Linked DNA regions of Diceros bicornis minor. The protein of the gene in region 1 purifies or fractionates together with the protein of each later gene. This does not show direct contact. Links are inferred from orthologs where the notes say so. Each region holds a gene or a part of one and is shown on either strand. Other genes may lie near its edges.

Region 1 (8,413 bases):
CTTGGCATGATTTAGCACTCAGTCATTCATCATGTTTGTTGGTGTTTCATCATTGGGTTCCTGACAGCCCCTGGGGGTGAGGGTACTGTGGATCAGACCTCCCCTTCTCTGTTAACTTGAGCAGGGCTGATTATACAGCAGGTGCCCAGTAAGTGTTGAGGATGGATTGATGGATTTTGTGGGCCAGGTTGGTGACTATTTGTTAATTCAACAAATATTTAGAGAGTACCACTGTCCTAAGTGCTGGAGATAACAGCAGTGAACAAAACAAAGCTGAAGACTGACTTGTGGTTCTTGTTTCTAGACCAAGACCTGGACTGCCCTGGACCCCTGGATATGATGGCACCTCGCCTCAGGCCGGTAAGGGCCCCTCCCCTGGAGGAGATTGTGTGGAGAGGGGTCATTCCGACTTGTCCTGTTTTGTTTGCGGGGCTGAGGGAATGGACGGGTTATCTCCAAGAGAGACCTGTGGAGCCCTGACTGTGTGTTCCCTACAGATGCGTCCACCACCTCCCCCACCAGCCAAAGCCCCGGATCCTGGCCACCCAGATCCCCTCACCTGAAGCCAGGGGTATCTCTGCCCCCCAGTGATGCTGCTGCCCCTATCTCCACACTGTCAGAGAACACCCCCTCAATGATCCAGAGTGATACAGCCAAAGGCGGGAATCTCCCCCATTTCTACTCTCACCTCCAGGAGTAGAAACTTCCCCTCTTCCCATTTCTGGGGCTGGAACCCACTCTCTTTTCCCCATCGTGCTGCTGCCTCTAAGGCTGGAACTACTCCTTTCTCTTCTGCCCCCATCCATCTCTAAGGTGGTGAAATATCCTGAAATCTCTGGGGCTGGAACCCATCCCTCAAAGTCTTGAGTGGCTCTGGCCCATCTGTGTGTCCACCCTGGCTCTGTGACCCACCCCACTCCAGATGCCAGGGCCACTGGTTTGGGGGCTGGGACAGGGGCAGGCCTGTCAGAAGGAGCTGGAGCCAGTATGCGAAGCAGCTGTAATGGTCTGAGCGGATTTATTGACAGTGAATAAAGGGCACGAAGCCCAAGCCAGAGCCTGGGCCTCTTGTGCCAAGAGAGCAGGGGACTGAGGTGCTATTGCTTTAGGGGCCTACCAAGGGCAGGGGCCTGCTCTCAGCTGCCACGCTGTAGCATATGGAGCGAGGTGATGGGGAAGGCGGGTCAGGCGGCCTGTTGGCAGGCGGGGGAAGGAAACAGACTGAGGGCCGGGGGTTGGGGGAACTTCTCCCAAGGTCCCCCAGCCTGAGACTGTGCAACTCCAGGTGGAAGTAGGGCTGTTCCCTCAGCTGGGGGGCAGTGCTGTCCAGTGGAGAGGAGGGGCTTCGTGCCCACCCATCCCCGGCCCTGCCAGCTGGTAGTCCATCAGCGCAATGAAGGAGGAGGCTTGGAGAAGAGCAAGGGTAACAGAGTTGCCTCCTATTCAAGCTGTGTCCCAGCTTTTCCCCGGGGCTGCAGGACCTTCCCTATCCCCTGGAGCACATGTCCACTCCCCACCACCAAACCAAGGAATTTATAGCAAAGGCTAAGCCTGCAGTTTACCCTGGGTATACAGGGAGCCAATGGACTTAGGTAGTTTAAGTAGGGGGTGGGAGGATGACATTTTCTGATTTGGGCCAGGCAGACTCACCTCACACAGCCCCTGCTCCCCGTGGTGGGGACACCTGAGAGAGAGGAGGGGTCAACAATGGGAGAACAGGACATGGGTCATATTAGTGTCCCCCAGCATAGGGGGCAATAAGAGCTGAGCCCACCACAGGCCACCATAGCCCTGGCCATGTCTTCATACCTGGTGATCTGAGGTGTCCAGTTTGCTTGGCTGTCCATTTGCCTCTTGACTGGCCAGCCCTGGGCTTGGGCCCCTCCCTCCAGCCCCCAGCATTGGCTCTACAGAGGCTCCAGGGTTTCTCTCAAGTGCACAAGGGACTAGGCTGCTGTCCCTGAGTCCTCCATTCTGCACTGGGGGGCTGGTGATGGCTGGGGGCTGTGGCCTCTCAGGGGGCAGGCTCTCAGTGGCAGGCATCCCTGCCCTGGGATGCCCTCCCCCAGACCCCTGACCGCCCCCTGGGTCCTGCCCCCCACCAGACCCCCAGCTCCTGTCTGTGGGGGAGCCATCACGATGCTCATGCAGCCCGTAGCGCTTCTCAATGTGTGTCACCCGGAACCTGGGAGGGGAGGGAACACTGGGGCTTAGGACCACAACTCAGAGGCTGCTTGGCCCCTTCCTCCAGCCAGGGATATTCTGGGTTTGATGGCCACTTCCTTCTGGCCTAGGGCAGGGGAGACCTCTTCAGATTCAGGGGCACATTGTGCAGCCTGACTCCTGCTGTAGCTCGTAGCTCACAGTCCAGGAAGAAAGCCGGAGTCAACCTTTGGAGTCAGGTGCCTGATCATTGGGGCCCCCACCTCAACCTCTCTTTCCCTGGGGTACTCTATCCCCACCTGCCCACAGAGAACACGGTGGTCTCCCCAGGCCGGGGGCGGCTCTTTCCTTCCTTGGAGCGTCCCTGACGGACAAGTGGAGGCCTCTTGTTGCGGCTGCAGTGGATGCAAGGGGCTGCAGAGCCCAGGTGCACTGTGTGATGATGGGAGGGGGCTCCGTCCTGCAGGCTGGAGGTAGCATCCATGCTGGACAGTAGGGAGGAAGGGAGAAGGAGTGACATTCCCATTTCCCTTCCTGATCCATTTTCTTCTATTCTTTCAGCGTGCTCCTTAAACCCCCAGATGCCCCACTTTCCCCAGGCCCCAACATTCTTTTCTTGTCTTTATCTAATAAACTCAATATTAAGATGTTAGTGACCATGCGTTCTCCTTCCCACGGCTGTTTTGCTAAAAAGAGAGCAGTACTTAACCCAAAGGAGTGGCACAGGGGGTGAATGTTAGGCTTGATGACATCCAGATGGGACATAGGGTTTTAAGAACTCAGGACTTCTACACAACTTCTTTCTTCCTATAGCTTAGCCAGCCTTGCTCTCGCCCCTGACCCCAGACATGCGAGGAGACTTGGTGAGGAGTGTGCTGGAGGAGAGGGTACTCTCCAAGGTAAGCTAAGTCATGCTGGCACTTGTTTCCAGCTCACCTGGACAGCTGCACTGTCCCTTCTCCTTCACTGTCCCCCAGCATCTCCTTCAAGGCCTCAGCATTGGCTGAAGGGAGAAGGAAAAGAGGGAGTCAGTGGAGGTGGAGGTCAGGGCAAGAGAAAGTCGAGGAGGGGGGAGCAAGGGGCCAGTCTACACCCACCTTCATTTTGGATGATGCAACGAACAATCCTCTCTACTGTGTCCTCATTCATGTCATCGTCCTCAGCTGAAGGATGAAAGAGGTTGGCAAGGAAGCAGGAAATGAGTCAGCTTTGAGGGGACATTACCTGGTGGCTTCTGTGGCTTATTGCTCAAGACATACCCCTTTACCTATTTGCCATCATGCTGGATGTTAGCATTTCAGTGGCCAGGGCAGAAAAGATACGGAAATCAATGGGAGCCCAAGAATACCATCAGTGGGCCCTTCCCACTAATGCTGCCTTCTCTAGCCTTGCTTTCAGGGTGGTGTCACCCCCACTTGCTGACTCAAGAAAGCATCACTAGGTCTCCTGAAGGCTTGGTCGGTTTGGCCTGGGTCTGTTGGCCAGGAAGGCAGAAAGAGGTGTGGGGAGAGGGGTAAGGGAGAAAGGTGACTGAGCCAGGTTCTAGGCTCCTCACTCACGGGGCTGGAGCTGGGCGTCGTCAGGCTCCGAACCCCTCGAGGTGCGGCAGCGGTACCCCTTCTTCTTGAGCACGTGGCAGATCATGAAGCCTACAAGGCCCATGAGGAAGAAGACCAGCACAAGCAGGAAGAGCATGTACAGCCCATGTTGGGGCGGCTCCAGATCAGGCTGTGGTTCCGACATGAAGCCCTGGGGGGCGAGCGCGGGCCAGGGCGCCTCCTGGGGTTAGGGGGCTGCAGCTAGGGATGGGGGGAGGGATAGGAATGCCGTCCTCAAGATCCGAAACAGGCGAGCCTCCCAGGTCCGGCCCCACCCCCTACCCAACCAAGGAGCTGTCCGTGTCAGGGGTGCTGGTCCGGGCCAGGGGTGCCAGACGGCGGCTGCGCAAGCCCTCTTCCACGACCCTGGTCCCGCTTCCCCGACGCCCAGAGGGTTTCCCTTTCCAGCTTGTCCTGCGCTTCCGTCCCTCCCAAGGACACTGCAGAGTGAGATGGGACGGAATTCTCAGGCGGCCGGCGCAAGAATCCCACCTGAGTCAGCGTTCGCACCTCCTCCGCGCCGGCCTGAGCCAGGCCTCTGCAGCCCACTCCCCTGCCTGTACTCCCGCACACCCCTCCCTTTCGATTCCTCCCATCCTGACCGCCTGGCCCACCCGGTACCGGTGGTTTGGTTCTGGCTCCGGCTCCGGCTCGGGTTCCGGTTCCAGGGGCGTCCTAGTCCGGCTCAGGGCCCCCGACGCCCTCTCGGGGCTCATCCCTTGCTTCCTCCCCCTCCCCCCTTCGCCGCCTCACTGGCTCCGGGCTGCGGCTGCAGATACCGGTGCCGCGGCAGGCGGGGGGAGGGAAGGATGGAGAAGGATGCGGGCTGGTTGGGAGCGGCGGCAGGCTCTGGACAACTCCGGCCCTGGGAAGGGGAGGAGATGGGGGGCGCCGCAGCCGCCCTGCTTCCCAAATGCCCTCGCCCGTCGCCGGCCCAGGACCAGGGGGCGGAGCGCAGGTGTGCAGGGCGGAGAGCTAGAGCCTTGCGCGCTTGTGAGCGCAAGTGTGGTGCGCGCGTGACTGCGCCGGGCCCCCCTCCCGGGGGAGTGTGCGGCGCCAAGTCTGGGTCCTGGTCCTGGTAGGGACGACAGGCAGTCAGGCGAGAGTGCTCTCCACTGGTCTATCCGGCACGCCTGGCGCGGATCCCGCCCTCAGATGCCCAGGCCGGGTGGATAGCCGGGAACCTTCCCAGCGGGCCGGGGAAGTCGGCTTTCTGCACCCGAGAGGGACAGCGTGGCCGGTTCTCCGGAGCCTCCTAGAGAGGTGACCACGGCCTGCGCCCCGTTTGGGGCAAGTGGCTGGATGGGATGGCTCAACTTCCCGAGCATATGACCCCCGCCTGGAAGGAAATGGCCCTCGCATCCTAGGACCAATGCTCTCCGTCCTCCGCCCAAGCCCAGACGCTCACGCCCCAGAACCTAGAAGGGCGAAGCAGGGCAACTGCTAGAACTGCGCAGGGGGCGTGGTCTGGGCGTGGGCGTGGTCTAGGGAGGCGGGGCCTGGACCTCCCGGTTCCGCAGAGGCCGGCTGCGTGCCTACGCAGCACGTACGACGGGGGGTGGGGCAGGCGGCCCGGCGGGTGGCGGAGGCGCGGGGCCTGATCCCGCCGGAACCATGGCCAAGACCGTGGCCTATTTCTACGACCCCGACGTGGGCAACTTCCACTACGGTGAGGGAAGAAGGTTATGCGCGAGGGGTTTCGGGACGCGGAGGTCTACAACTCTAGGGATGGGAGCTGACGAACTCTCTTCTCCCACCCCCAGGGGCAGGGCACCCTATGAAGCCCCATCGCTTGGCATTGACCCATAGTCTGGTCCTGCACTACGGTCTCTATAAGAAGATGATCGTGAGTCCCGTCGTCTCTGCTGGGATTTGAGGGTGGGGGCGAGCTGTGGCCCTAGGGGTAGGTAGGCTGCACTGAATGCACCAAGTACGACCCACCCCTGAAGTGGGGGGAGGCTGGATAGAAGGAACCAGGAGCATCCCCCATATGCGAAGTGTTGGTGGGTGCATCCCCTGACTTAATAGGAGTTACTTTTTCACCTTAGGTTAGCCACCCTTTGACCTCAGGTGGACCAACCTTTGACCTAGGTTAGGGTGGAGTGGGGCTGGTTTGAAGACAGAAGGTGTTTTCCTCCCTCGCATTTCAGGATGTGGGCAGTGCTGTGGCCTCAGGAAAGGGAGAGGGGCTGGATCACCGAATCTGGGTGTGAGGTTACTCTCAGTTCCCACCCCTTCTTTGCCACCTCTCTCCGCCTCCAAGGAGCTAGAGCTCCAGGGAGGACTCTGCTGCCCTGTGTGTGAGTGTGTATGTGTGTGTGGAGGAGAGCAGGAGATGTCCTGAGTATTCCCTTTCCAACCTAGAATACCCCTACATGGGTAATCACTACCCAACCCTCACATGCTGTCTGTCCCCACCTTAGAATTTATTGCTGTGATATGCAATTATAACAGTTAAGCTCAGCCCTTATGCATTACAAGGGGAATTAGTCAACAGTATGAGTGTCCACTGCTTGTGCCGAGGCACAGAGAAGTGAACTGGTCGTAGAAAAGACTGAGGTGATGTTAGTGCATGAATCTATGAATCCCTTGAAATTTAGTCTGCCGCTGTATGTACCTGTGTGCATTTTTTGGGGAGAGAAAAGCTTTTTGTTCTGTCCAATTTCTAAAGAAGTGTGTAAACGCCTCAAAAGATGATAAATCTCTGGCTAAGCACCTTGGCACTTTGGGTTTTAGTTAGAAGGTTGTCATATATCCCATATTATTTGACTCTGAAATTAAGAACTCAGAGGAGAGAGAGGACAGAATCAGAGTCCAGGGGTGGAGAGGACTATGGAAAGAAGCAGGAATAGGAGATCCGGGGAACAGGGCAGGTGGATCAGGGCTCAAGGTTGAGAAAGTAGGAAAGGCTGGACTGGAGGTGAGAAGGAGAAGCCAACCCCCATGGTCTTTAGGGGGCTTGACCATAATAACCCACCTGGCTAATTGGAGCTTCTCTTCTTCACTGACCTTTGCCTCCTAGAATAACACGGCTTGAGGGGTCAAGGGATTGCTGTATGTAGTTTTGGACAGTCCCCAGGGCTGGGTTCAGTGTGGGTGGTCTCAGTCCCATTAGTGGGACTGACCCTGCCTGGGTTCATCTTGTGTTTCCATCCTGAGGTCTTCAAGCCATACCAGGCGTCCCAGCATGACATGTGCCGCTTCCACTCTGAGGACTACATCGACTTCCTGCAGAGAGTCAGCCCCACCAATATGCAAGGCTTCACCAAGAGCCTTAATGCCTTCAACGTGGGCGATGACTGGTGAGGGGAGGACTGGGACTTTTGATGCCAGGCACTTTGATGCCAGGCATTTCAAGGAGAATACTTGAGTGAGGTCTTGTGGTAGCAGTGGGAAGACATGAAGAGGCCTACTTGTCAGTGAATCATCATTTACCCATTTGTTTATTCAACAAATATTTACTGGTCATTTGCTGTAGGCCAGGTCCTGTGTTAAGTGCTGGGGATGCAGTGATAAACAACAACAGCAATATTTTAATATTATAGTTGTGGTAAGTCCTATGAAGAAGAGGCACATGACAGACCATGGGAGTGTATATGTGGAAGAATTATCCAGCTTGGGAGTGGGCTAGTCAGTGGAGGCTTCCTAGAGGAAATAATGAAGATTGAGCTGAGATCTGAAGAAAGAGTAGGAGGAGGTAATTAGGTGAAAGGTGGTTGGGAGGATAGAGAGTAGGGACAGGAATGTTGTGGGCAGTAGGGAGAACATGTGCTAAGGATCTGTGCTAGGATAACGTGTAACTCATTTGAGGAACAGAAAAAAGGCAGACCACAGAATCTGAAGAGAAGAGTGATCTGAATTGAGGTTAGAGGTAGGCAGGGCCTTTAAAAAGTAAACAGCCCTATTATGAATTGGGGTTTTTACCCCTAGAATAGAGGGAAGTCATCGAAGTATTTTAAAAAGCAAGAGGGTGATCTGACATGATCAGGTTTACATTGAGCTTGTATCATAGCAAGAAGACTCAGAGTTAGGCCCTGTGGAGAAGGGAGTGGACAGTGACGATAAGCCATGATCCTTGCTTACATTCTAGTATACATCCATGAAAATACAGTGACCATAACAGCTACCTTTACTCAGTTTGTTTTTAAACTTTTTATTAGGGAAAATTTCAAACATTTCTGAGAGTAGACTAGTACAGTGAACCCCCACATATCCATCACCCAGCTGCTACACTTATGAGCAAATGGGCAATCTTACTTCATCTGTATCCTCTTATGTTAGTTAGATTATTTTAAAGCAAATCCCAGATGTCATATCCTTTTATCTGTAAATCCTTTGTTGTGTATCTCCAAATGATACTCTTTAAAAAAAAACCACACAATATCATTATGACATCTCAGAAATTACCAGTAATTCCTTAATATCATTGAATTTGCAATCAATATTCAGATTTCTTCAATTGTCTTATAATTTTTCTTTTTTGCAGTGGAATTATTTAAATTAGGATCTAAACAAGGTCCACACATTGCATTTGGTTGTATGTATTCCGTCTCTTAAGACTTTTAATCTGTAATGTTTCCTTTTCTTCCTTGAATTTATTTCTTGAAGAAACCAGGCTGTAGATCCTGCAGTTTCCTACAACAGCTACCATT
Region 2 (7,963 bases), on another chromosome or scaffold:
TCACGGAGGCGGGGGCCTGGCGAGGTCCGGGGAGCACAGGAGCAGACGCCGGACGGTGCCAAGGCCTGGAAGGAGACACGCCGGACCTTGCGCCCAGCCCACCACAGTGAGGACAAGGCTGGACTGGCACTTGGGCCTGAAGACCCTAACCAGTTACAAGCAGCATGTCTTGCACATTACTTGGGAAATTTGCTTTCTATCAGTAAATGAGATTTCTGAGCACCACTGGGGAGAGTGTTGAAGGAGGAAGGGCAGCACTGACCATCTGTTGCAATGACCAGAGCAAAAGCGTACTCTATCCTCTTCTCTGTGACTGTGGCTCAGGGAACTGTCCTGGCTTCTCCCCAGGCAGTGCCTGAGCCCTCGAGCTCAGGCCAGGCCTTCCCTGAGCCTAAAGACACGCTCACCCAGAACCGCAGGGCCTGCTGCAAGGGAGCCTGGGCCCGGGTCTGCAGCTGTGACAAACAGCCAACCCCAGGAAGACCACAAATACACACGTGACCCAGACTCGGACACAAACACAGACAGACACACCCTCATAGACAAGACCCTCTGCTGTCCGCTCTGCAGGCAAATGACCTGCCACAGCCTCACCTCCCAGCTCATCCGCCGGGACCCACCACAATCCTGCACACGGGGCTCCCTCGGGCCACATACAGGCACCCCAAACAGAAAGGCCCCAGTTCACAGGGAGCGCCCATCAGGCCACCCACAGCCAACTCCCTATCTGAAATAAAGAGCCCAGCCAGCCTGCTGGGAATCTGCCTTTGGCCTTTGCCACCTGCATCCTCCCCCACCGCATGCTGCCCACTCAGACCATCCCTCCTGCCCAACCCCAACCACACAGTCTGCAGACAGCTGCCACCTGGGCGCTGGCCTAGCCAAGGGCAGAAACACCACGAGCACACGCACACGCTCACATGTGTGGCACCCCCTCCAAGCACAGGCGACAGGCCCCTTGTTCTCCAGCCCCTCCTCCGCTCCCAGAGACTCTGACACTCCACTGGAGGGGCGCCCAGAGAAAACCGGGCGGGAGCATCTATTCACAGATTTAGAAAAAAAAGTTTGATGCAATAGCTGAATTAATTAGGCCTCCCAAGAATAGCTAAACCAATGCAGCATTCTGTGTGTGCAATTTAATAAGCCTAGATATTTAAAATGAAAATCACAAATAGCTAGGAAGAGAGAAGATACTATGAAAAGTTGGTGAAGACCCCAGTGGATGGTTTTGGCACCTAGTGACCCAGGAGCTGCCCGGCCGATCACAGATCCTCCGTCTGGCAAACAACAGAGCCTCGGTCACGGCCCTCCCAGCCGCACCCTTCAGCGTTTCAGAGAGAAGAACAGAAGGAAACACGGCGTCCAAAACAAATCGCAAGCCGTCGGCTACTCCAACACTTGACCAGGCCCCAAGCCCAGTGCCAAGTGGCCCTCACCCCCGCACAAGGGACTCTGGGATGCACTTACTGGCAGGCCCACAGCGACGCACAGAGCTGGAGTCGCAGAGTCTCGGCCCCCTGCCACCTCAGCCTGGACACCTGGCTTCGTTTTTGAGTCTGTCTCCAAGAACCTCAAGGCACAAACAGGCCCCACCTCGCCAAGTTTTGTCTGCTGGAGACCATGGGCAAGCACCCCTCTGTCTGCAAGCCCAAGAACTTCGAGACGAGCACAGCGCCCTTCACCCCCACCCGGTCTGGACACCTCCTTAGGGCCCTGAGGAAGGCCTGAGGCTCCAGCCTGGGCCCAGTCGGAATCTAACTTCCCAGGACTCAGGGCAGAAGCACCCGAGGCCTGCCGTTCCTGGTTCATCTGGGTAATGGCTGTGGGCCTCAAGAAGGCTTCTCCACCCACCAGGCCTGGCCCCAGACCCCCAGGGCCCCTCACACTGGGCAAGCCAGTTTGTCCTAGGGGTCCACCAGAAGGTCCTTCCTTCCAGGCTACATGGCCATTGATAGCAACTAACACTACCCTAGATTTCCTTAAAACAAAACAAAACAAAACCCTACAACATCAGAGGAGGCAGAAGCGCAGGTCCTAGCCTGCTGAGACACAACCCCTAGCCCAGGAAGGCCCCCCACCCTTTCCCAGGGACTGGCCCCTCCTCGTGCCACCTCCCCAGCTTCCAGACCCTGGGGCCCAGCTCACCCAGCATCCCACCATTCCTGCAGCCAAGGCTGACAGAGACACTCACCCGGGGCACCCGCCGCTTGTACTTGTTGCCGTAGTCGAACTTCTCCTTCACGTCGTCCAGGCAGCGGCCGAGGCGCGCCTGCTCCTCCTTGCCCGTGTAGTCCTGGCTCAGAAGGATGTAGGCCCGCCAGTTGGCCGAGTCGAAGCCCCAGTGGCAGGTCCGGTTCTCGAGGGCCTTGTGCGAGTGCACCACGAACTTGTGCGGTGGGTACATGAGACGGCAGTCGAGGCACTGGATGCAGGCGGCGCTCGGGCTGCTGTAGAGCTCGGGCACCAGCAGCCCTTTGCACTTGCCGAAACACTCGTGATACACGCGCACGCTGCGCTCGCTGAGCTCCAGGCCCAGCGCCAGGCTGGCGGCCAGCTCCTTCTTGCAGGGCGGCGGATAGGCGCCGCCGTACAGCAGCGCGTTGCACAGGCGCTCGGCGTCCGTCTTGGTGATGAGCCCGCACGAGGGCGCCGAGAAAGGCAGGATGCCCATGACTTTGAGGATCTCCAGCTGGTCAGCCGTGCAGCGCGAGCAGTAGATGTGCAGCTCGTCGCAGACCGAGTTGATCTGTTGAAGCGAGAAGTCGCGCAGCACCGAGTTGAGGATCTGCGGCAGGCAGAGGCGCTTCTCGCCGCCCACCACGAAGCACGAGATGGTCTCCCCCTCCAGCACGGTCTCGCAGCGCTCGGTGGAGCGGTCGGACGGCATGAAAAAGGGCCCGGGCAGCACGGGCGGCGGTGGCTGGATGGCGGGCAGGTGCAGCACGGGCGGCGGCTCCGCAGCCGCGGGCACCGGCGCTGGCACCGCGGCCGCGCCCGCCTCTTTGGCGCTCTCCTTCTTGTAGGCCTCCTGCGCCCAGCGCGCCGAAAAGGCGGCCGGGCCGCCCAACGAACTCATGGAGCTCAGGTGGAACTGCTCCAGCGTCTTCTGCAGCCCCGGGTGCGGCTGGAAGCCGCCGCGGCCGCCCGCCGCCGCCTCCATGGTGCGCTCCTGCTCCCCGGGCCGCTCCCGCTCCCGCGCGCCCGGGCCCCCGCGGCCCCCACCGCCGCCCCGCGCGCCCCGGCGGCGGCCCCGGCCCCGGCCCCGGCCGCCCCCCGCCGCCGGCTCCCGGCCGATCACGGCCGCGGCCTCGGCCTCGCCCGGGGGCGCGAAGGGGAAGGCGGGCGGGGCAAAGGGGTCCCGCCGCTGGAGCCCGCCGGTGCCCGGGCCCGGCGCCACATCCACGCGCCCCGCGCCGCGCCCGCCGCCGCCCGGGCCCCCCGCGCGCCCCCCGCGCGCCCCCCGGGCCCTAGGCGCGGGGCATGCCCCAGCGCGCGCCGCCAACGCCAACGCCAACGCTCGCGGGCCCGGGGCTCGCGGGGGGCGCGCGGGCAGGTGCCGGCGCCGCGAGGCGCGAATCGCCGCGGCGGCCGAGGCCGAGGGGCCCGGGAGGAGCGGGGGCGCGGGCGCCGGGCCCGCCGGGCCGTCCTCGCGCGGCGCGCCGCCGCCGCCCCGCTCCTCCCACCGCGCGGCGCCCGCCCGGCTCGTCCCGGCGGCGCTGGCCGGCCGCGTCGCGCCCGCCGCCGGCCGCCCCGGCCCGGCCCGCGCCCACCCCGCCGCCCGCGCCGGCTCCGCGGCCCGCCCGCGCCCTCCCGCCCGTCCGCCCGCGCGCGCGGCTTCCGGGGCGGCGGGAGCGCTGTGGCGGCGGCCCTCAGAGCGCGGCGGCGGCGCGGGGCTCGGCGCACATCCTCCCGGCGGCTCGCTCCGGCTCGGACTGAGCGCCCGGCGCTGAGCTCACGCCGCCGCCCCGCCCCGCGCCGCCGCCCCGCCCCGCGCACCGTCTGGGGCCGCGCGTCCGCCGCAGCCGAGCGCCGGCCAGGAATGCGACCGCCTCCCGGCGCGGCTCTTCCAAGAACGCGCACTCCCCCGCCCGCGCCCGGGCCGCTCGGCTGCGCTCGGGCCCGTCCGCCCGGGACTCGGCTCCGCTCGGATTCAACTCGGCCCCACTCGGCCCCACTCGGCCCCCGCCCACCTGGGACTCGGGCCCGCTCGGCTCCACCCACCGGGACTCGGCCCCGCTCGGCCCCGCCCGCCGGAAGGCCGCTCGGCGGGGGCGGGGGCGGCGGCGGCGCCCGGGGGCCCCCTTTCCGGCCGAGGCCGCTTCCTGCGCGGCTGGGAAGGCGCCCGTCCCGCCGCCGCCGGGGCCTAGAAACCCACACGCGGCCCCCGCCACAACCGCAAACCAGCTGAGGGGCGGGCGGGACGGGGCTGCGCACCCTCCATCGTACCCCTCGCGGCCCCCGCACGACGGGGACGCCACACGCACGACAGGGCCTCCGTGCAGTATAACCCAAGGTCCACATAGGACGGGGACGCCACAACACAGTGGCGGTAACTGCGAGTGAGGGTTGCAGCACCCCGGGGCCCCACACAGGAGACACCGCGTGCAACGTGTCCGGGACCCCCGCACCACGCAGGCGCGGCACAACCCCACCCCCACCCCGGCATGATTGGCACGCAACGCCAGCCACTCCGCGCCCCTGCCCTCTGGTCCCCGCCCCGCGGCTGGCGGGGCCGCTAGCCAGCAGCTTCACCCCGCTGCAGTCCCAGAGCAGCACTGCTTGCTCCACGGGGTAGGGCTTTGTGCCTGAGATGGACGGCCCTGCGTCCAGGAGCTGTGCCCTGTGCACGCCGGCCAGGTCACTGCTAGGGCCAAGCCCAAGGTGGGTCCTCAGGAACCTGGCTCCTTCGTGCCTCGGGCAGGACAGCGTGACCCTTAACCTGCAGCCTTCCCTGCCGAGAGCCACTTAGACATCTGCAGGGCGCCCAGAGCGTGGCCAGAGTGAGACCACACTGTCCGTCCTTTCACGCACTGGCTGTGTCGTGGGGGGAGAGACAAACCAGAAAGGGGCCGGTGGGAGAAGACGGGCCGAAGTTGGACAGGCTAGCCGAGTGGCCCCCCGGGGGAGGCAGCATCCAGCAGAGACCCCGAGGGTGGGGACTTGAAATCAGGGGGACAGTTCTGGCTGTGCTCAACTCGGGGGCAGAAGGACAGTCCAGCTGAGCTGGGTAGTGGCACCTTTTCCTCCACAAGACAAGGGTACCCAAGCTGCCCTGAGCCTTGGGCAACACATGGGGGATGCCTGCAGTGCTAGGCAGGGGCGAGAGGGCCATGCCTGCGGCAGCCTGGGTCACCTTCACCTTGTCACCTTCTGCTCCTACCCCCCCCCCAGGGTGGAGGCTGGAACGGGCCCCAAACCAGCACTCCTGGGGGGCAGCACCTGCCCCAGGGAGCCAACCCAGCATCCCCGCAGGCCTCGGTGGCCCCTGAGGCGTGGGCAGGTGTCAGGATGGGCAGCTAGGATGGACAGGTGACCTCACACCTGCGTGGCTCAAGACGCAGGCCGGTGCCTGGTGTGGGGAGCCTTGAGATTCAGGGTGCAGTGCCCCGTGTTTACAAATCTGATCGCTCCTCACCGTGGACGTAAACCCTCCCCCACCCTCGCCTGTGCCCTAGGGACTGTCCCTCCTTGTCATCACGATTCCCGCTGTCCCTCCCACTCTTTGTTTCGATGACCCCAGCAGTCGGCAACCCCCAGCACGAGGCCTCTCTATGTGCACAAAGAAGAAAACTAGGAAAAGGGTATTTAAAAACCAAAGAAAAGTGACTTATTTGTTTTTGAAGATTGTTTCCTTGGCCCACATTTGGACTAAAAAAGTTTATATTGCACCTGAGAAAGTCAATTTCTTCCACGTGGATTTGAATCCCAGGCAGCTCAGGCAACCTGTAATCCAAAGAAGGTGGTTGGAGCACCAGAGGGCTGGCCAGGAGGGGTTTCTAGCCGGGTGCAGAATTCTTCTGCTCTTTTGGCCAGGCAGGTGCTCCCAGGAGGACCCTGAGCCCGAGGTCCCCCGAATGGGCAGTGCCCAGCTCTGATGCTCTGCTTCCCTCTACCCGGTCTGGCTTTGCAGGGCTCTGGGAAGGGGCCAACACTTTCCCAGAGCTGCAGGGGGAGTGTGGTGGAGGATAGGTGAGGGTGAAGGGCCCTGAGCAGCAGGGAGAGCCTGGACTCATCTCTAAAGCTTCTCCACCTCGGTGGACTTTCAGGCTTCCTCCCCACAAGATGTTGGAGTTTCTGGAGCAGGTGAGCCCACCCCACCCACCAAAGGCCAAGCCCTGTCTTCTCCCTGTGCCCAGCCAGGGCTCCCACCTGCTGGCCTTCCTCCTTCCAACCCGTCCCAGCAGCTGCTCTGGCCAGTGGCCCACTCTTCCCACTGCCCCCGTGCCATGGGCCAGGCACCACACTGGCAGGTGGAGGGTCCAGGCCACAGGCACAGGGACTCACTACACCTGTCCCTTGCTCGCAGCTCACTCCCAGGCCCTTGCCACACTGATGGGTGTGGGCTTGTGGTCATGCGTGTGCACACTCACACAGCAAGCACACATGTGTGGAGCCTGTACCCCTGCAGACACAGAGCCTGGCACTGGGACCAGGGAGGGAGGAGTCCAAGCTCTGCCCCATGTGGCTCCCATCTCCTGCGGCGAGTCTGGCAAGTGATCAACAAACCCGTTAGTAAAGGAGCAAGATCATTTGGGTCCTGAGGGGCCGCGAGTCGGGGGGCTGACCTTGGAGCCAGCAGCGCTCCAGGACCAGAGAGATGAGTGTGCTGGCTGTGATCAGGTGCCCCTTGCCTCAGGGGGAGGTCGGAGGCTCAGCTGGGGAAATGGGCTGGGAGGCTCAGATCACCAGGCCCCAACAGAGAGACCCTGACAGAGCTTCCCCTGGAGGGGACCAGCTCTGCCCTCTCTGGCTCCCACCTGCTCCCTACTCCCTATTCCTTACAAACTGGAAGGAAACACTTGGTCACAGCCAGGCACAAACTGCCGTGGTCAGGAAAGTGCTAAGATACTGTTTTAAAACTTTAAATTTGAAAAAAAAATATCAAGTAACATGAGCTTGATAAAAATTTAGAAAAGACTTTGGTCTTAGTTTGGGTTCCACCAAAAGCAGAACTTGAGACAAAGATTTGAGTGCAAATAGTTTATTTGGGAGGTGATCCCAGGACACACAGGCAGGGGTTGGAGGAAGGGAGATGGGAGGGAAGGCAGGACACAGGAGTGTGTTATGCAGCCTGTCACCCTCGGGCTCCTGGAGCTGGATCCAGGGGCACAGAGCCATCCCTGGGGGCAGCCCTGAGTGAGAAGTCAGAGCCCAAGGGAGCCAAGGGAGTGAGGGGACACCACTGGAGCGTGGAGTTGATTACACAACTGGGGGACTGACCAAATAAGGAAATGCATTACGGGTAAGGAGTCCGGTTTCTCACTGCTAGAGATGGGAATTAAAACACAGAAAGGGATAAATGAACTATGTGGTATTGGATTGGAATTAGCTATATGTATGTGAACCCATGAATATCAATATTTATAAACAAATAGGAAAACCATAGATGTAAATGTGTGTTTGTGCAAACGTCCATACAATCCCTAGCTCTGTCCAGTGAGAGGCCCTGCGAGGAGTGACACCCCAACAGCAGTGAGCTCACCGAGAACCCACAGCTTGGCTTCTAAATTGCATCCTTCACTAAAAGGAACTAGAGTTCTTTGGAGAAATGGCTGGTCTCAGGGCCTGGGTAGGAAGAGCACAGGACGAGCGTGGAACATCTTGCTGTGCCTAGAAGTACAGAAGGGTGCAAATCATAACAGGGACATGTCAGAAGGACACATAGCCGGCTCGAAGGGGCCCCTACTGGCAAATCAGAGATCATAATGTTAGTCACGGATTATAACCATGGAATAAAATAGGA
Region 3 (7,402 bases), on another chromosome or scaffold:
AGCTTAAATAATGCCCTCAGTCCTACAGCATTTAACACAGGTGCATTCTGCTGTTATTAAATGACAATATGACTCTCAAAAACAAATAGAGCTTGGCTTCTATCTGTTATAACCTAGTTTATTACCTTCATTATAGCATGGCAATGCAAAAATTTTATGAAGGTAAAATGTTTACTAAGCATCCCTAAATTTGAAAAAGATTAATTTTAAATTTTTCTCAGTTTGCTCTTGTGAGCTGCACAATTGACTTACGAAGTCAGAGTGAAATAGTCACACATCAACCACAGCATCCCATGGAAATATTCATATGGAAGAAGTGTGTAGCAGAAGAACTAAAGAATCTCAACCCCAAAGTAATTAGATTTCAACAGGGAAATAATCTCAAAGCCACTCAAGAGGGAAAAAAAGGTTTAATTAAATTCCAGTGTTGAAAACTGGATGTGGTATCCGGCAGGTTATTTGTACATACATTAACTTGTTACTTTTCATCGAAACATTCTCCTCCCCTGTGACATTAGTACCAAAGGCAGCAATTTGGTCCAGAACCACTAGCAAAATACATCCTCTGATTTTTATTTTCATTGAAACGGTCACTGAAAATAGAAATAATTCTTTTAGAAACATTATGTTCTTAGAAATGTAATTTTTAAAATATATTACTCACAGAGGGAAATTCTGATTTAAGAGAATGGTTGAGATTCAAATCCTACCTTTATGTATGTTTTATTTTTGAGAGCATTTTAAAACAGCAAAACTGTAAAATATTTAGATATTTTCTGAGACCACCTACAATTATATATTTACCTAAAGTTGCAGAAGAAAAACGTCAATGAGCTGTTATTGTTTTCCAGTGCAATTGTTATTTTTCTTCCAACTAACCAAATACTACTTTAAAAATTCACTGTGAAAACTTACATTTCATTCCTATTCTGAGCCTTTTTGAAATGTCCCCCGTGCAGCAGATTTGGAAGAATCTGTCACATAGCATTCGCCCAACATACCGCTTCGTTGTATTTTTTATTTTGTATTATAACAAAAGTACATTTTAGTATTATTCCAGGGGAACACCAGGAGTGAATGTGGCAATGTTTCCTTTCCTTCCTCTCTTCGAGAGGCAGAGGAAGGGAAATTCTACATTGCCGCTAAAACGAGCGCTCTCGGTGGAAAGGAATTCTTCATTTCCTACACGATGTTACTGAACTTTATAAGCTCTGTTAAAAGCCGTTCAGACTGAGGGGTTCCCGGCACCTCTTAGCTGAGCCACATGCTGCCTGCTTTCCATTCATTTTAGTTCCTCACTAAGGAAGGCGCAGTGTTTTTTGTTTCTGGTTTTAAAGTGTGCACCGAGCAGGGCGGTTACAGCTCGCGCAGATCCCGGGAACCCCAAATGCCCGGCGGCCCGATTTAGAATAAATCAGCAGTAGCTTTCTTTGCTATTATCGTCCTTGCCGGCGTTCGAACTTGGGATTTATTGGTTGAATCTCTTAGCTGAGTAGCGCCCACCGTGCCGCTCTTGAAAGGCGAAACTTAGTGCATCTATAATTGCAACTCTTTTCTTACCAAGGAAGGGAACTTGACCCTGGCCCGAGAGACTGCCGAGGACAATCCGACCCGCAGCCCCTCGCAGGGTTTAGGGTTTCATACCGCTCGAGCCCCAGAGGAGCCTTCTCTGACCTTTCTGAGCGGCAGATCGCCCCAGTCCGCTATATCCCCGAGTCAGAGCCCATTCTTGCCTTCGCTGCACTCCGGAGCCCCACCCCGCGTCCCCGGGGGTCCCTGGGGATGCGCTTGGAGGCGGCTCCCAGGAGCGCTTGGTTGGCTCTTAAGGGAATGCATTTGAGCCGAAGCAAAGGGTTGCACTTGGAACACGCCTCTAAAGCGAGCAGCGTTGATCCTGGGCAGGGGGCAGCAGACGGGGAGGTTTGGTGACTGCACAATATTTGGAATTGCTCGGCCAAGGCGGAGAGCGGCCGTTTGGGGGGTCTTTACACCTTAAATGAGGTTTCTTCAAAATCATTTAAAAAAAAACACACAAAGGAGTTTTCTATCTGCTAGACCTAATAGAACAAAGTGCAGCTGGATGCTGGGGGGTTCCCGGGAGTGTCAAGGACAGGCCCACCTGGGGAGAAGCGCGGAAGGCAGGACGCAGCCTGCGCCGAGGGCCCGGCGAGGGCGCCCGGGGTGCCTGCAGCACGGACGGCCTGGGGCGGCCGACTTCGGGGTCCGCGCAAAGGGGTTTCGGGAAGAGACCCCCAACGCGGGCCGGTCGGGAGAGCCAACACCCTGCCTGAGATTCCCGCGCCACCAGCTCCGCCGCGGGGGTAGCGGGGGCGGGACGCGGCCGCCCAAGGCTGGCTCCAGCGGCCGTTTCCTGTCGTTTCTCCCCAAACTGAAGTTCTTACAAGAGCGATGCGAAGGCCGCGCGGAGGGCCGGCGGAGCCCCGCGCCGTCGGGGGCGTTCCCGGGCGCACAGCGCGGCCGCCGGGCGCCCGGGGAGGCGAGCGAGGGCTGCTGCTGCCCCCTGGCGTCCGCCCTGAGCCCGCGGCCCGAAGCGCCTCCCCCGCGGCCAGTGTCCGCCTCCCGGCAGCTCGCCGCAGCCCGCCCGGCCGCTCGGGGCCTGGGGCAAGGGAAGCGGCCTGGGCGCCCGGGAAGGCCTCTGCGGCCGACCGCACGGCCCTGGCTTCCGTCAGGCCCCAGCGGCGGAGCCCGCAGAAAGTCTGGCGCGGCAGCCCCCCAGGACCCCAGCCGCGTGTCCGCAGAGGGGCAGGAGGCGGCGGGAGGGAGGGCCCCCGCGGGGACCGAGTGAGGGACCCCCGCTGGGGGTGAAATTGAGGGCTCCTTGAGGAAGGTGGGGAGGGGCTCCTGCGAGGGGGGAGTGGGTGAGCGCCCTCCCCAGGGGATGCGGAGCCCCGCGGGGGACGGCCAGGCTGGGCTCCGTGGGCAGAGAGGGAGCCCCGCGGCGGGGGGGAACGGGCCCTGCGCGCCGGGACGGGGGCGGGGCCCCGTTAAGCTCCGCGAAAATGCCCGCGGCGCCGCGGGGACGGGCCCCGGGAGAAGTTCCCGCCCGCGCGCAGTGCCGGGGTGGGTTCAGCGCCCCGGGCCGCTCGCGGGCACGGGGACAGGGAGAGGAGCCGGGGCCGTTTCCGGGGAGCCGGGGGTGGGTGCGGGGCTCGAGCGACCCGGGCCCGGCGGCGGGCTTCCTCGCCGCCTGCGGAGGAGCCGACGCTCCGAGGACGGGGAGCGAGCCCGGCGGATGCTTTCAACTTTCCTTCCAGCCGCACGTTCTTGGGGGCCTTGTCTGATTAGGAAACTCCTGTGCTCGCCGCTCGGCGCACACAGCCTGAGTGAGGCGCGCTGCGTAATTAAGCCGCAGCCCAGACGCGGCGAAAAACACCAATTAAAGAAAACAAACCGAGAGAGAAAACTAAAAACACAAAACCATGTTGTGAGAGCCGTCTGGCCTCATTAAATGAATCAGCGCCACTTCGCTGCAGCTGCCAACCGGGCCGTGGGGCCGCGCAGAGCCGCTCTCCGGCCGGGCCCTCGGCCCTCCGGCTCCCTCGCGGCCGAATCCCACCCACGCCGGGGAAGCAGAGGCTCGGCCGTGGGCGGCCGCGCAGGGCCTGGAGCCGCTCGGGGACTCCCGCCCCGGGCCCGGGAGCCCCGTGGGGGCCACTGCATCTCCAGGACGCGCGGGGCGCCTCCCTCCGCCTGGTCTACAGGCCCCGGCCGCTCCGGGCGCTGCGCGTAGCCCGAGTCCTCCCCAAGCCGGCCGGCCTCCTCTTTCCACCTCCTCGGTCTCCGGACCGCGGCCGCCCGTGGCGCCCCTGCGCACTGCAGCCCCGCGGCCGCCAGCCGCGCAACCGCGCGCGTCTGCAAAGCCGCAGGGCCGCGGTCTGCACCGGGGCGGGGCCTCGGGCGAGCGTGGGAGCGCGTGAGTGTGTGTGCGTGGATGAGGGCGCGCGAGGAGCGCGGGGTGACCGCGGCGGCCGCGGACTCTCCATCCGGGCTGCATACAGTAGCGCGCGGCGGCGGCGGGGGCGCGCGGGCCAATTCCAGGAGCCCGCGGCCGCGAGCCGCGCCCTGGCTGATACCGGAAAGGCCTGTGATTGGCCGGCGGCCGCCCCTATGCAAACGAGCTGAGGGAATGGAATTCCTCGGGCCGGGCTTACAGTAAAAGCACGTTCATTTCCAGGCACTCTCATTCATAGAGCCAGCGGGCGCAGGCGGGACGGGCGCCCCGCGGCCGGACCCAGCAAGGGTACCACGCTGCCCGGCCCTGCGCCGGCAGGCATCTCTTCCTGGGGCCCCTGGGGACACCAGAAGAAAGTCAACCTTTGCTGCTTCTCCTTGACCTGCGTTGGAGTTTCGATTTGTTTTTTTCTTTCTTTCTTACTTTTGAATGAACTGGTTTCTTGGCTGGATGGTTTAACTTCTTTCCTGGCTGTGAACTTTTCTCCGGTTGTTTCCTTTGACAACTGCAAGAGAAAGTACGCTGTGCTGCGAGGCGAGCCGTGAAGTTGCGTGTGCGTGGCAGTGTGCGTGGGAGTGTGTGCCTGCGTGTGTAACTCGAGCCGCTCTGTCTGTTTCGATCTGCGCTGCAGAGCCTCCTGCAAGGCCCGCTCCACCTGCTGCGGTTACGCGGTGATCGTGGGTATTGGCGTGTCCGCGTAGTTAACCGGCCGGCTCTGGGGCGACGTTGGAGGAAGATCTGATCTCGTACCGCCTGAGTCGGGGCTGACTCAGGGAGTCAGCGTAGACAGTGGCTGGCTTCTGAAGAGTGCGTGTCTGCGTGCGTGTGACTCGGCTGCTGCTCAACTCCCACCAAACCACAGGATCAGCCACAAACTTAACCAACATCCCCAAACCCGAGTTCTCAGATGTGGAGAGCTGTACCCTGAGTGTCATCGACTTGGACCTTATTTTATTTTTTAAGATTAGCTTTTCTTTGAAAAGCTGAATTTTCTGAACTGAGAATTTTGCCAGAATTGGAGAGAACATGACAAGTACTTCTAGCCCAGCCCTTCTCCAACTACTGAAGCTGTTTTTCAAGGCTACTTAAAAAAAATCTGCAGCGAACATTAATGGATTTCTGTTGTGTTTAAATTCTCTACAGATTGTATTGTAAATATTTTATGAAGTAGAGCATATGTATATATTTATATATATATATATGTGCACATACATTAGTAGCACATTTTGGAAGTCTCAGCTCTTGCTTTTGAGGACCGAAGCCTGTTTTGCATGATAAAAGTGGCTCTGAATATGGAAGACACTCGTGTATTTGGTGTTGTGTTGGGACTTTAGACAAAACTCACCTGGGAAAAAACTGACAGGCGATTAACTACTGGAGCTTCCAAACAATGTATTTGCTGGTCCTTCTGCTCTCCGCATAAATATTTTAGGAAGTGTATGGGAATTTTGCCTCCGGGAACTTTTGTAACAGCTAAAGCTGAACTTAAACTCTCAAAGCAAGACTCAGAAGAAGATAGTCTCCCTTGGCATTTGACTTGGGATTCTGGTCGCCTACTTTTTAAGGCACTAAGCGGTCGGTTGCTAGGAGCCCTGACCGAGTCTGAGGCTCATCGGCATAACTAGAACTTGCCCCCTCCTGGACTGTTAGTAAACTTAGTCTTTCCCCTCCCCCAACCCCCCCGCAGCAATAAAGGCCCCGAACTTGTATGTTGGTCTCCCGGGAGCTGCTTGCTGAAGATCCGCGCCCCTGTCGCCGTCTGGTAGGAGCTGTTTGCAGGGTCCTAACTCAATCGGCTTGTTGTGATGCGTATCCCCGTAGATGCCAGCACGAGCCGCCGCTTCACGCCGCCTTCCACCGCGCTGAGCCCGGGCAAGATGAGCGAGGCGCTGCCGCTGGGCGCCCCGGACGCCAGCGCCGCCCTGGCCGGCAAGCTGAGGAGCGGCGACCGCACCATGGTGGAGGTGCTGGCCGACCACCCGGGCGAGCTGGTGCGCACCGACAGCCCCAACTTTCTCTGCTCCGTGCTGCCCACGCACTGGCGCTGCAACAAGACCCTGCCCATCGCTTTCAAGGTACTCGGCCCGGAGCGGGTGGCGGGAGGACGGGCGGAGGCCGGCCGAGGCCGGGGGCGATCCGGGAGGGCAGCGGCCTGGCGGGCGGGGCCGGCTTCTAGGAAGGGGCCGGCGCTGCCCTCGGCGGCCCCTGGTCCATCCCCCTGCGCTCGGGAGACGGGGGATGCTGCGTTGCCGTGGCGACCCTCCCGGGGACCCGCCTCAGCCCGCCAAGGCTGACTCCCGGAGGGCTGAAGAAATCAGGATGCCCCCGAAGACGTCCACAGTGGGCCGGTGGGGACCTCCCTGGCAGGGGTCCTTAGCTTTGATACAAAGTAGGAAAAGTTATAACCCCAGCAAGGACTAGCCTGTCTGCTCCCGTGCTTCTCCCCCACCTCCGGCTTGACTTCCAAACCATCCTGACTCCCTCAGATGGAGGCATCAGGAAATAAAATGGACATACTTTTATACCTTCGGGTCAGTGCAAATAAACTGATAAGGAAAATTGTCAGGGCTTCCCACCGCCACCCCCTCTTAACAGCCCGATACGAATTAGCATGTTCAAAGTCCACAGCGGGCGTAGTTAAGTTTGCAAGTTTTCTGAAGAGTTTTTGCGAGATTCCAGCCCGCTCCTGCCAGAAGCCGCAAGTAGCGAGTCCTGTTTCTTTGCCTGGAACCCTCCTGAACGTTATCACTGGCTCACCTAGATTAAGCCCGGGGCAGCGAAAGGTGACAAAGCTGTCTTGCGCGAGCCTGGAGTCTAATCGCCCGCATTTCTGTTTGAGGAGGGGGCGGCGTGGACCAGGCGGCCTCGGCGGAGCAGCTCCAGAGGGATCCGTTCCCTTTTCACCCCTGATCTTGCCCTAGCTTTCAGCTGCCTTTAAAAACCTTGGCCTTCAACGGGGATATATAAACAACCCCGGGCGTTTTTAAACAACCATCCCACCACCCTGGCCGCAAACAGCAGAAATTTAATTTCGGCGATGGGGACTCGGTTCTTGGGTCTTGGGTGGGATTAAGATGGGGCAGCTTTTTAGTACAATCAGTGCATTTATTGCTGTTCATTTAAAGGGCGAAGGCAGGCAGATGAAAAAAAAGCTGTAAAGATCAGCTACCCTCTCTATTTTTAATCTGGTTAAATATTGTTCCCTTTAAGGGGAGATAAATTTAATATAAGCTTTTTATGGTTCCAGGCCTCGACCGAATCTTGATCTAGTTAACAATGAATAATGTTCACTTTTTTAAGAAGTGCTGTCAGAGTTCTTTATTTTTAAAGCGTTATACAAAGCCTTCCAAACTTAGATTATGATTTCTAAAACAACACAAACAAAATGTGCAGTTGGCTATGTCTTTGGAATTGCCTCCTTTTCCTCTC
Region 4 (7,529 bases), on another chromosome or scaffold:
CTCACCCCCAAACTAGCCCCAGCACCTCTCTCTCATCAAGTTTTAACTTAAGCTGAATAGAAGTTCACTTTGCTATACTCAAAGTTCATGATTCATGTTCAGATTCATGATTCAAGTTCAAATTCCATGATCTCAGGCCCAGACTTCATTGTCTTGGGATCAAAGGGTGAACAAAATGCATCTCCAGTTTTACCGGTATTTTACAAAACCACAAAAGGGAACTGCAACCAAATCATTCCCTTCCGTCCCCAAAGTCTTCAGGACTCACCCAAAACTTGTTCAAATTCCCAGAGACACTATGACTACAACAGAAACCAGGCACAAACCCAAGGGTGCGCTCAAAAACAGGCTAACCTGGGCCATGCAATCAAGTTAACAGCACTTCTTCAACTCATCTGAGTGATAATACAGTCCCACCCCTCATTATGAGGTTCAGCCAACACAAGCATCTGAATAACAATGGCCAGCACTTCTAGAGCACTATGTGCCAGGTGGCATCCTAAGTACTCATAACTCTGAGACAGACACTTCACTATCCTCAAACCACAGAGGAGGAAACTGGGGCACAGAGATAATAAGGAATTTGCCCAGGATCATACAGGTGGTAAATGGTACAGCTGGGACTCAAACCCGGGCAAAGGCTTCAAGTGGCTATTAGCACTTCCTCAAGCCACTTAGGTGGAATTTGGTTATTCCTAAACCTCAAATATCCTAAAGATGGCTAAGGACCCTCAATCACAGCGGGACATAATGAATGTCATCAAGTCAATGCTCAGCATATTTATAATATTTTCACTAATTTTAAATATAATCTCAACAAGTTTGGTTATCATTCTCAGTTCACACGACATAAAAGTTCTAATTTGGATGGCACAGTGACCGTACCAAGAGCAGTCAGCAATAGAACTGATAACAAAAATGACAGAAAGCAGGCACCACAACTAATCCAACTACCCCCCAAAAAACAGCAATTGGTGGCCATATAGCATTAGGATTTAAGTTAAGGGTTGGCAAACTCTAACCCATGGGCCAAATTCAACCTGCCCCAGTGGGTAAGAATAGTTTTTACATTTTTAGATGATTGAGGGGGAAAAAAACACAAACAAGAATATGTGAGACCATAGATGACCTGCAAAGCCTAAAATATTTACAGAAAAATTGTTTACTTTAAATAAACAGCACCATATACATGGATGCTCAAGGAACTCTTGATTCATTCATTCAAATATTTATTGAGCACCTATGATGTGCCAGGCACTGGGGATGTATCGGTGAACAGCTGTTAACTTAATAAAGGGCACTCAAAGTGGCAACTCTGAAAAATGGGGAAAGCAACATTCAAAGAGGAAGTGGTTGCAAGACCCTTTGAAGGCAGGTATCTCTACATACAGAGCTTCCTTAGGGCCAAGGGTTCGCTGGCTCTCCAAACCCAGGACCTAGCAAGGGTTAAATGTACGTGGCAGAGTGGAAGGGAATGCGCTGGGAAATGGCATATTAAGCCCCAACATTCCCAGAATGGACTGTGTAGGAGATTAACAATGGGCCCTATGGTTACAGGTGCTTTCCATACTCTTCAAATATGCCTGCAGAACTTTAAGATCCTTCATTTGCTGAATACATATAAATTGATAGTAAGGATAAATGTATTCCTGAAGTACCGTTAAGCCTACACACATGCTGATAATTGAGAGTGACTTTCAGCTAAGTAGATTTTGATTAGACTAGCGCACAGCTTCTTTTGATCCCATGGTTTAGTAGTTACCTTCACTGAAATCTATCCAAACTAGTTAACAGTAATACTGTTAAAATACATTGTATCATTTTCAAGAAGTGGTGTGCAAAATGTTCAGTCTTCCACGTTGAAACATCTGGTCCTACACCAAAGCTTTTGAAAGTCAGTAATAAAAATATGTACACGCCAGGTTCTCTTCATCCAATCTCCTTAGCCAAGCAACTACATTTCTCTTGTCCAAGATTCATAAATTATGTCAATCAAGTGAAAAGATTAGATAACTAGACTACTGAATCTTTCCTCCCCCACACGTAAAAATCAGTCTATTTCAGTGCCCAAACTTTCTGAAACGTTTTGGTAAAGAAAAGCATTCCATTTAACAATTTGTTTACATTTATATGATGCCTCTTTTGTCTCTTTGATTGTCGTGGGTTGTGAATTTTTAAAAGAATACATGATCATTTACAAGTATTTAACAAAACCCCTCTGCTCCTACTAAATAATAGCCTCACCACAACCCTTTCCAAACGTGAAACTATTATGAAACAGACATCATGTGTCAAAGTTGTCCTGAGGAAGGTTTCACTCACACCCAAGTGGCTTGCTAATTGTATATAACAAAGACGAGTTTCTCCACATACCACAAACAGTATCTTCAAGTGCGTGGTCATTGAAGAATCAAAGCAAAACAGGCCGGGCAGACCACAACAAAATTATTCCAGTCCACCCCAGTACCTAATAAGAGAGCTAGCCTCCTGATCCGTAAAGACGGTACTGCCAAAGAAATGAAACCCAAACATCCCGTAACAAAAACTCTTGTGCCGACTTCCCTGTTTAGGGGCGCACGGGGTTCCCTACTTCACTTCCCTAAGTGTCAGGCCTTCTATGGGAGGAGCCAAGGTCTCTGCCCTCCAGAAGCTCATAGATCTAGTGCAGGAGAAGGACATGAAGACAACGCCAGAGATCTAAGTGTACGGGAGATTCCAATATAGAATTGAGGAGCCCAGACAAGGGGAAGTTAATTCTGCCAAGGGATAGGAGTGGGGAGTGGGGAGTGGGGTGGAGTTGGGAAGGGTCGAGGGAGGTGTCCCAGAGGTGAGTAGCTAGAACCTAGGGCGAGTGGGGGACAAGGGACTGGAGAAGGAATCCCACGGAAAGTGCAGAGGAAGCGCAGATGCTAGCCCACTCGGTGCCACCCCCTCGGACGAGCCCTCGGCCCTGCCCTCACTCCCTGCCCGCTCCCCGGACATCCCGGGCCCCGGCTCCTGGAGCATCTCGGGCCCCGGCCTCACGAGCGGAGGGTGCAGTGGGGGCATCGGTGAAGCTCCTCTCGCCCGGCGAGATCGGGATGCGGGCGACTCGGGCCCCACCCAGCTCTCCGGGAGGCGGCGATACCGCGCCCCTCGCCGCCACCTCGCCGCACACAGCTCCCCACCCAACGCGGACACTCACTTTCTCGTGGAAGATGGACTCCATGTTTATTTGTCTGGAGCCAACGGCCCCCGCGCCGGACCACCCCCTCCAGCTCCGCCCCCCGGCCCCACCCCTCCGCCCCCGCTCCGCCCCGCCTCCGGCCGCCCTGCCCACGTGCCCCGCGCAGACCAATCACCCCCGAGGATGCGAGTCACGTGGAGCGAAGAGCCAGTGAAGGCTGGGGCTATAAACGCCGGGCACGTGATCTTTGTAGCTCGTCCTCCCTTCTTCTGAGATGCAGCGGCTGGGGGATGCTGTAGTGCCGCCTGCCGTCTGGAGGCTCGCTTCCCACTTATGGCTATGGATTCTCAGGCTTCTGGGGGTCTGGATAAGGACGACTGGGGTTCTATGTTCTTTTTGTTTTCTACTTTATACTTTCTGTTTATGATGTTTGCATATAATTATTTAATATCTTCCTCTTCCTCCCCCACTGAAAGTCTCATGGCATCCCCCAATACCAAGCACTTGTGTAAAAATGGTATTAATATTTATATAGGGCTTACTGTAGGGTAGGCACTCTTGTAAGTGCTTTGCATATATTAATGAATTTAATACAGCAATCTTTGATGTAGGCATTATTATCCCTATTTTACACAAGAGGAAACTGAGGCACAGAGAAGTTAAGAACAGCACTATGTCCAAGGTCAAATAAGTCCAGATATCTTGTTACTAGTGTAAGTGTTCTGTCTCTGAAGAGGAAGCATCAGTTGAGGGTGGTGAAAAGTCCAGTCAAGTGCTTGGGGGGAAGCTGAAGGAGTAGGATAGGAGCAGATCTTGCATTTTGAAACCAGGTTAAGGAAGGTGTGCTTTTTTGTGTGTGTGTGAGGAAGACCAGCCCTGAGCTAACAGCCCATGTCAGTCCCCTTCTTTTTTTGCTGAGGAAGACTGGCCCTGGGCTAACATCCAAGCCTATCTTCCTCCACTTTATATGGGACACTGCCACAGCATGGCTTAATAAGCAGTGCATTGGTGTGTGCCTGGGATCCGAACCCGTGAATCCCAGGCTGCAGCAGTGGAGCGTGTGCACTTAACCACTTGTGCCCCTGGGTTGGCCCTGTGCCTTTCTTTTTTTTTTTTTTTTTTGCTGAGGAAGATTGGCCCCGAGCTAGCATCTGTGCCCATCCTCCTGTATTTTGTATGTGAGACACCACCACAGCATGGCTTGATGAGTGGTGTGTAGGTGTGCACCCAGGATCCAAACCTCCAAACCCCGGCTGCTGAAGCAGAGTGTGAAAACTTAACCACTATGCCACCGGGCTAGCCCCCAAGGAAGGTGTGCATTTTAAAGGCAGTGGGGGGCTATATAAAGTTTGTAAAAGGAAAGAGACATGCTCAGATTTGCATTTTTAAAAGATCACTCTGGCCACAGAAGAAAGCCATTGCTGTCAAAGGAATCTTGGGAGAGATGATGGTGTTTGGACTAGGGTAGTGACTTGGAGATGGAGAGAGAAGACCATTTTGAGAGATAATTAGGAAGTAGGGAGACTCAACAGAACCTGGTGAGAGAGTGGGGGGTGAGGGAGGCAGAAGTGTTAGTTTCTGCCCTAGGCAGCCTCTATGGCAAAAGCATAGGAGGAGCAAGGTTTGGGGAAAAGAAGACGACAAAGAGTTTACATGTTGGAGATGTGGAATTTGAAATATCCATGAGACATTCATGTAATTATGTTGAGTAGTGGTTGGAGATACATATATGTTGAGTAATAGTCTAGAGTTCAGGAGGGTGGTTTGGCTATAGAATGGGGAATTGTTGGCATAAAAATGGTAACTGAAACCACAGGAGTGGATAAAGTCATCTTGGGGGAAAAAGAAGAGATTGAGTAGAGCATCTGGAGCAGATCCCTGAGGGTAGAGAAGGAATAGCCAAGGAGAGAGGAGGAAAGCCGGAGAGTGTAGTATTATGGAAGTCCTGAGAAGGGAATGTTTCAAGGAGCAGTCAGTGTCAGTTGCTGCCAAGAGGTCCAGCAACAAAAGGACTTACAGGAGTCCACTAAATTGTGTTGCTATGGAAACCATTGGTGACTTTGGTGAGTGCAGTTCAGAGGAACAGAAGGGGCAGAAGGAGTAAGGAAATGGAGACTGCTATTGAGGACCAGGTGCACAAGGGGAGGATTTGGTTACTGGTTACCGTATATTGAACATCTCTGCGTGCACAGTCCACAGTCCTGTATTGGGGAAATAGTCCGTGTTCTTAAGGAATTGTGGCCTAACTAGGGAAATAAATCATGGTTCATGAAGTGAAAAAATATGCAAATGAGGTTTTTTGATTTTTTGAAAAAGAAATTATGTGTCCATCAGAGAAACATGTATTTATTTTTTTGTGTATACACATTATAAATCTCTGGAAGAATATACAGGAAACCCAGAGGTTAAATGTTTGAGATGAGAAGGGAACTAGGCAAATAGGAGACAGGGTGGGAGGGAGACTTTTCACTGTACACATTTTTATTTTTTATTTTTTAACTATATTAATGTATTACTTATTCAGAAAAAAATACATGATTGTATTTTATTTCCTAGGGCTGCCGTACCCAATTACCATGAATTTGGTGCCTGAAAACAACAGAAATTTATTCTCTCACCATTCTTGAGGTGAGAAGTCTGAAACCAACACGTCAGCAGGACCACGCTCCCTTCGAAGTTTCTAGGGGAGAATCCTTCCTTGCTTCTTCCCGCTTCTGGTGGCCCCTGGTGTTCCTTAGCTTGTGACAGCATTACTCCAATCTCTGTCTCTGTCTTTACATGGCATTCTTCCTTTTGTGTCTCTCTGTGTCCTCTCCTTTTATAAGACACCAGTCATTAGATTTAGGTCCCACCCTAATCCAGGGTGATTTCATTTTGAGATACTTAGCTAATTACATTGGCAAAGACCTGATTTCCAAATAAGGTCTTTGGCTCTGGATGGACTTGAATTTTGGAAGGACATGATTCAACTGTCTACAGTGACTAATTGCTTAGTAGGATGTAAACTATGCCAAAGGACCTTATTGTTTTGTTCACTGTTAAATTCTTAGTACCTAGAATAGTGCCTGGCAATATTTAGTAATATTGAATTTGTACTAATCATTTCATTAGGCCTTCCTGTTGAGCATGTGATTAATAACAAGCATCATAAAGTGAAACGATCAATGCTCTAAGTCCTGGTTTTGGCTTTGCCTCTGAAGCCATGTATGATTTGGGTCTTAGATTATTGCATTCCCTATTCCGATACCTCCACTTGAATTCAGCACATTCTCAACTTTACCTTTGTAAGATAACCTGTATCGTCCTTCAAAACTCAATAGCCATACGTTCTGGGAAGAGTTCCCTGAACTCCAACTAAGTTAGAAGTCCTTGTCTCTCCTCTGAGCTCCTGTATGTGCCTCTATCATACATGGTATCTTTTACAAAGTATCATAATAGTTGGTTTAATCATATATCTTCACCAATACCCCATAAATATCTTGGTGGCAGGGGCCATGTATTATTTGACTTCATATTTCTAGTAGTTGATGTCTTTCAAATGAATTAATGAAGCCAGGTGTCTGGGAATCATTCTTGATTCTTTCCCTCGCATTCTTCTGCCTCACCGCTTGTTCCAGTCAGTCCTCAGAGGCTGTGTATTCACTCTTCTCTCTCCCCTCTTTCTTCATTGCTGCTGCTTCGTTCAAGCTCTCTTGGTCTCTTGTGTAGGCCAGCCCAAGGATCTCTGAACTGGTCTTCTGATTCCAGTCTCAATATGTTTGATTCATAGTGCTGAGAGTGATCTTTCAAATGTGCAAGTCTTGCCCCTTTGTCTTTCAATTAGCAAATGGAGTGTTACTATGTACCAGATACTGAGACTATAACCGTGAAAGAGACACAGTCCCATCTTCATGGAGCTTATGTTGGGAGGGGTCTTTACACAAATCGTATTCTATCTAAAATCCTTCGGCGGCTTCCCATTGCTGTCTTAAAAAGCTCTTCGTGATCTGCACCAACCACCTGTCTGGCTTTTATCTCCCCAAATTTTCTCTGCTCCAGTTGCACCAGACTCAGGTCACACCAGCTGCTTCCCTTGACTTCCAGAAAGTTCTCTGAGGAAAAGTCCTTTGTGCCACCACTATACCTTGCACATGCCTATATTAAAGCATTTATTACACCATACCAAGAGTTATTACTTTATATGCTACTAGACTACCAGCTTTTGAGGCTCAGAAGTCTTTCTCTTTATATCAAGGGTTGGTACAGAGCAGTGAATAAATGCGTGAATTCTTTTTGACAGACTGACACAAAAAAGTATTACAATAATTCAGTGAGAGAGAGAGGTCACTGGGCTAATCAGGAACGAGTTCCTGGAGACAGAGTA

The links. Proteins that work in one complex are often made in the same cells at the same time.
Region 2: the proteins of HDAC3 (region 1) and SKI purify together in Homo sapiens (affinity purification with western blotting; 4 studies listed by BioGRID and IntAct, with this or other methods). This does not show direct contact. The link is inferred for Diceros bicornis minor from reciprocal best matches to the Homo sapiens genes HDAC3 and SKI.
Region 3: the proteins of HDAC3 (region 1) and RUNX1 purify together in Homo sapiens (affinity purification with western blotting; 3 studies listed by BioGRID). This does not show direct contact. The link is inferred for Diceros bicornis minor from reciprocal best matches to the Homo sapiens genes HDAC3 and RUNX1.
Region 4: the proteins of HDAC3 (region 1) and ATXN3 purify together in Homo sapiens (affinity purification with western blotting; 3 studies listed by BioGRID). This does not show direct contact. The link is inferred for Diceros bicornis minor from reciprocal best matches to the Homo sapiens genes HDAC3 and ATXN3.

What each region holds. Positions count from the first base shown.
Region 1 is NC_080740.1:59,790,313-59,798,725, reverse strand, and holds the start of HDAC3 (histone deacetylase 3), read left to right. Parts: upstream 1-5,323; 5' UTR 5,324-5,375; coding exon 5,376-5,430; intron 5,431-5,524; coding exon 5,525-5,607; intron 5,608-6,920; coding exon 6,921-7,063; intron 7,064-8,413. Other genes in the region: FCHSD1 (F-BAR and double SH3 domains protein 1), read left to right, coding at 305-360, 498-563; RELL2 (RELT-like protein 2), read right to left, coding at 1,652-1,684, 1,810-2,185, 2,463-2,648, 3,100-3,166, 3,261-3,326, 3,723-3,906. UniProt on the Homo sapiens protein: Histone deacetylase that catalyzes the deacetylation of lysine residues on the N-terminal part of the core histones (H2A, H2B, H3 and H4), and some other non-histone substrates.
Region 2 is NC_080752.1:22,965,166-22,973,128, reverse strand, and holds the start of SKI (ski oncogene), read right to left. Parts: upstream 3,238-7,963; 5' UTR 3,161-3,237; coding exon 2,192-3,160; intron 1-2,191. UniProt on the Homo sapiens protein: May play a role in terminal differentiation of skeletal muscle cells but not in the determination of cells to the myogenic lineage. Functions as a repressor of TGF-beta signaling.
Region 3 is NC_080766.1:35,215,152-35,222,553, reverse strand, and holds the start of RUNX1 (runt-related transcription factor 1), read left to right. Parts: upstream 1-4,165; 5' UTR 4,166-5,778; coding exon 5,779-6,048; intron 6,049-7,402.
Region 4 is NC_080763.1:37,928,554-37,936,082, forward strand, and holds the start of ATXN3 (ataxin-3), read right to left. Parts: upstream 3,238-7,529; 5' UTR 3,209-3,237; coding exon 3,185-3,208; intron 1-3,184. UniProt on the Homo sapiens protein: Deubiquitinating enzyme involved in protein homeostasis maintenance, transcription, cytoskeleton regulation, myogenesis and degradation of misfolded chaperone substrates.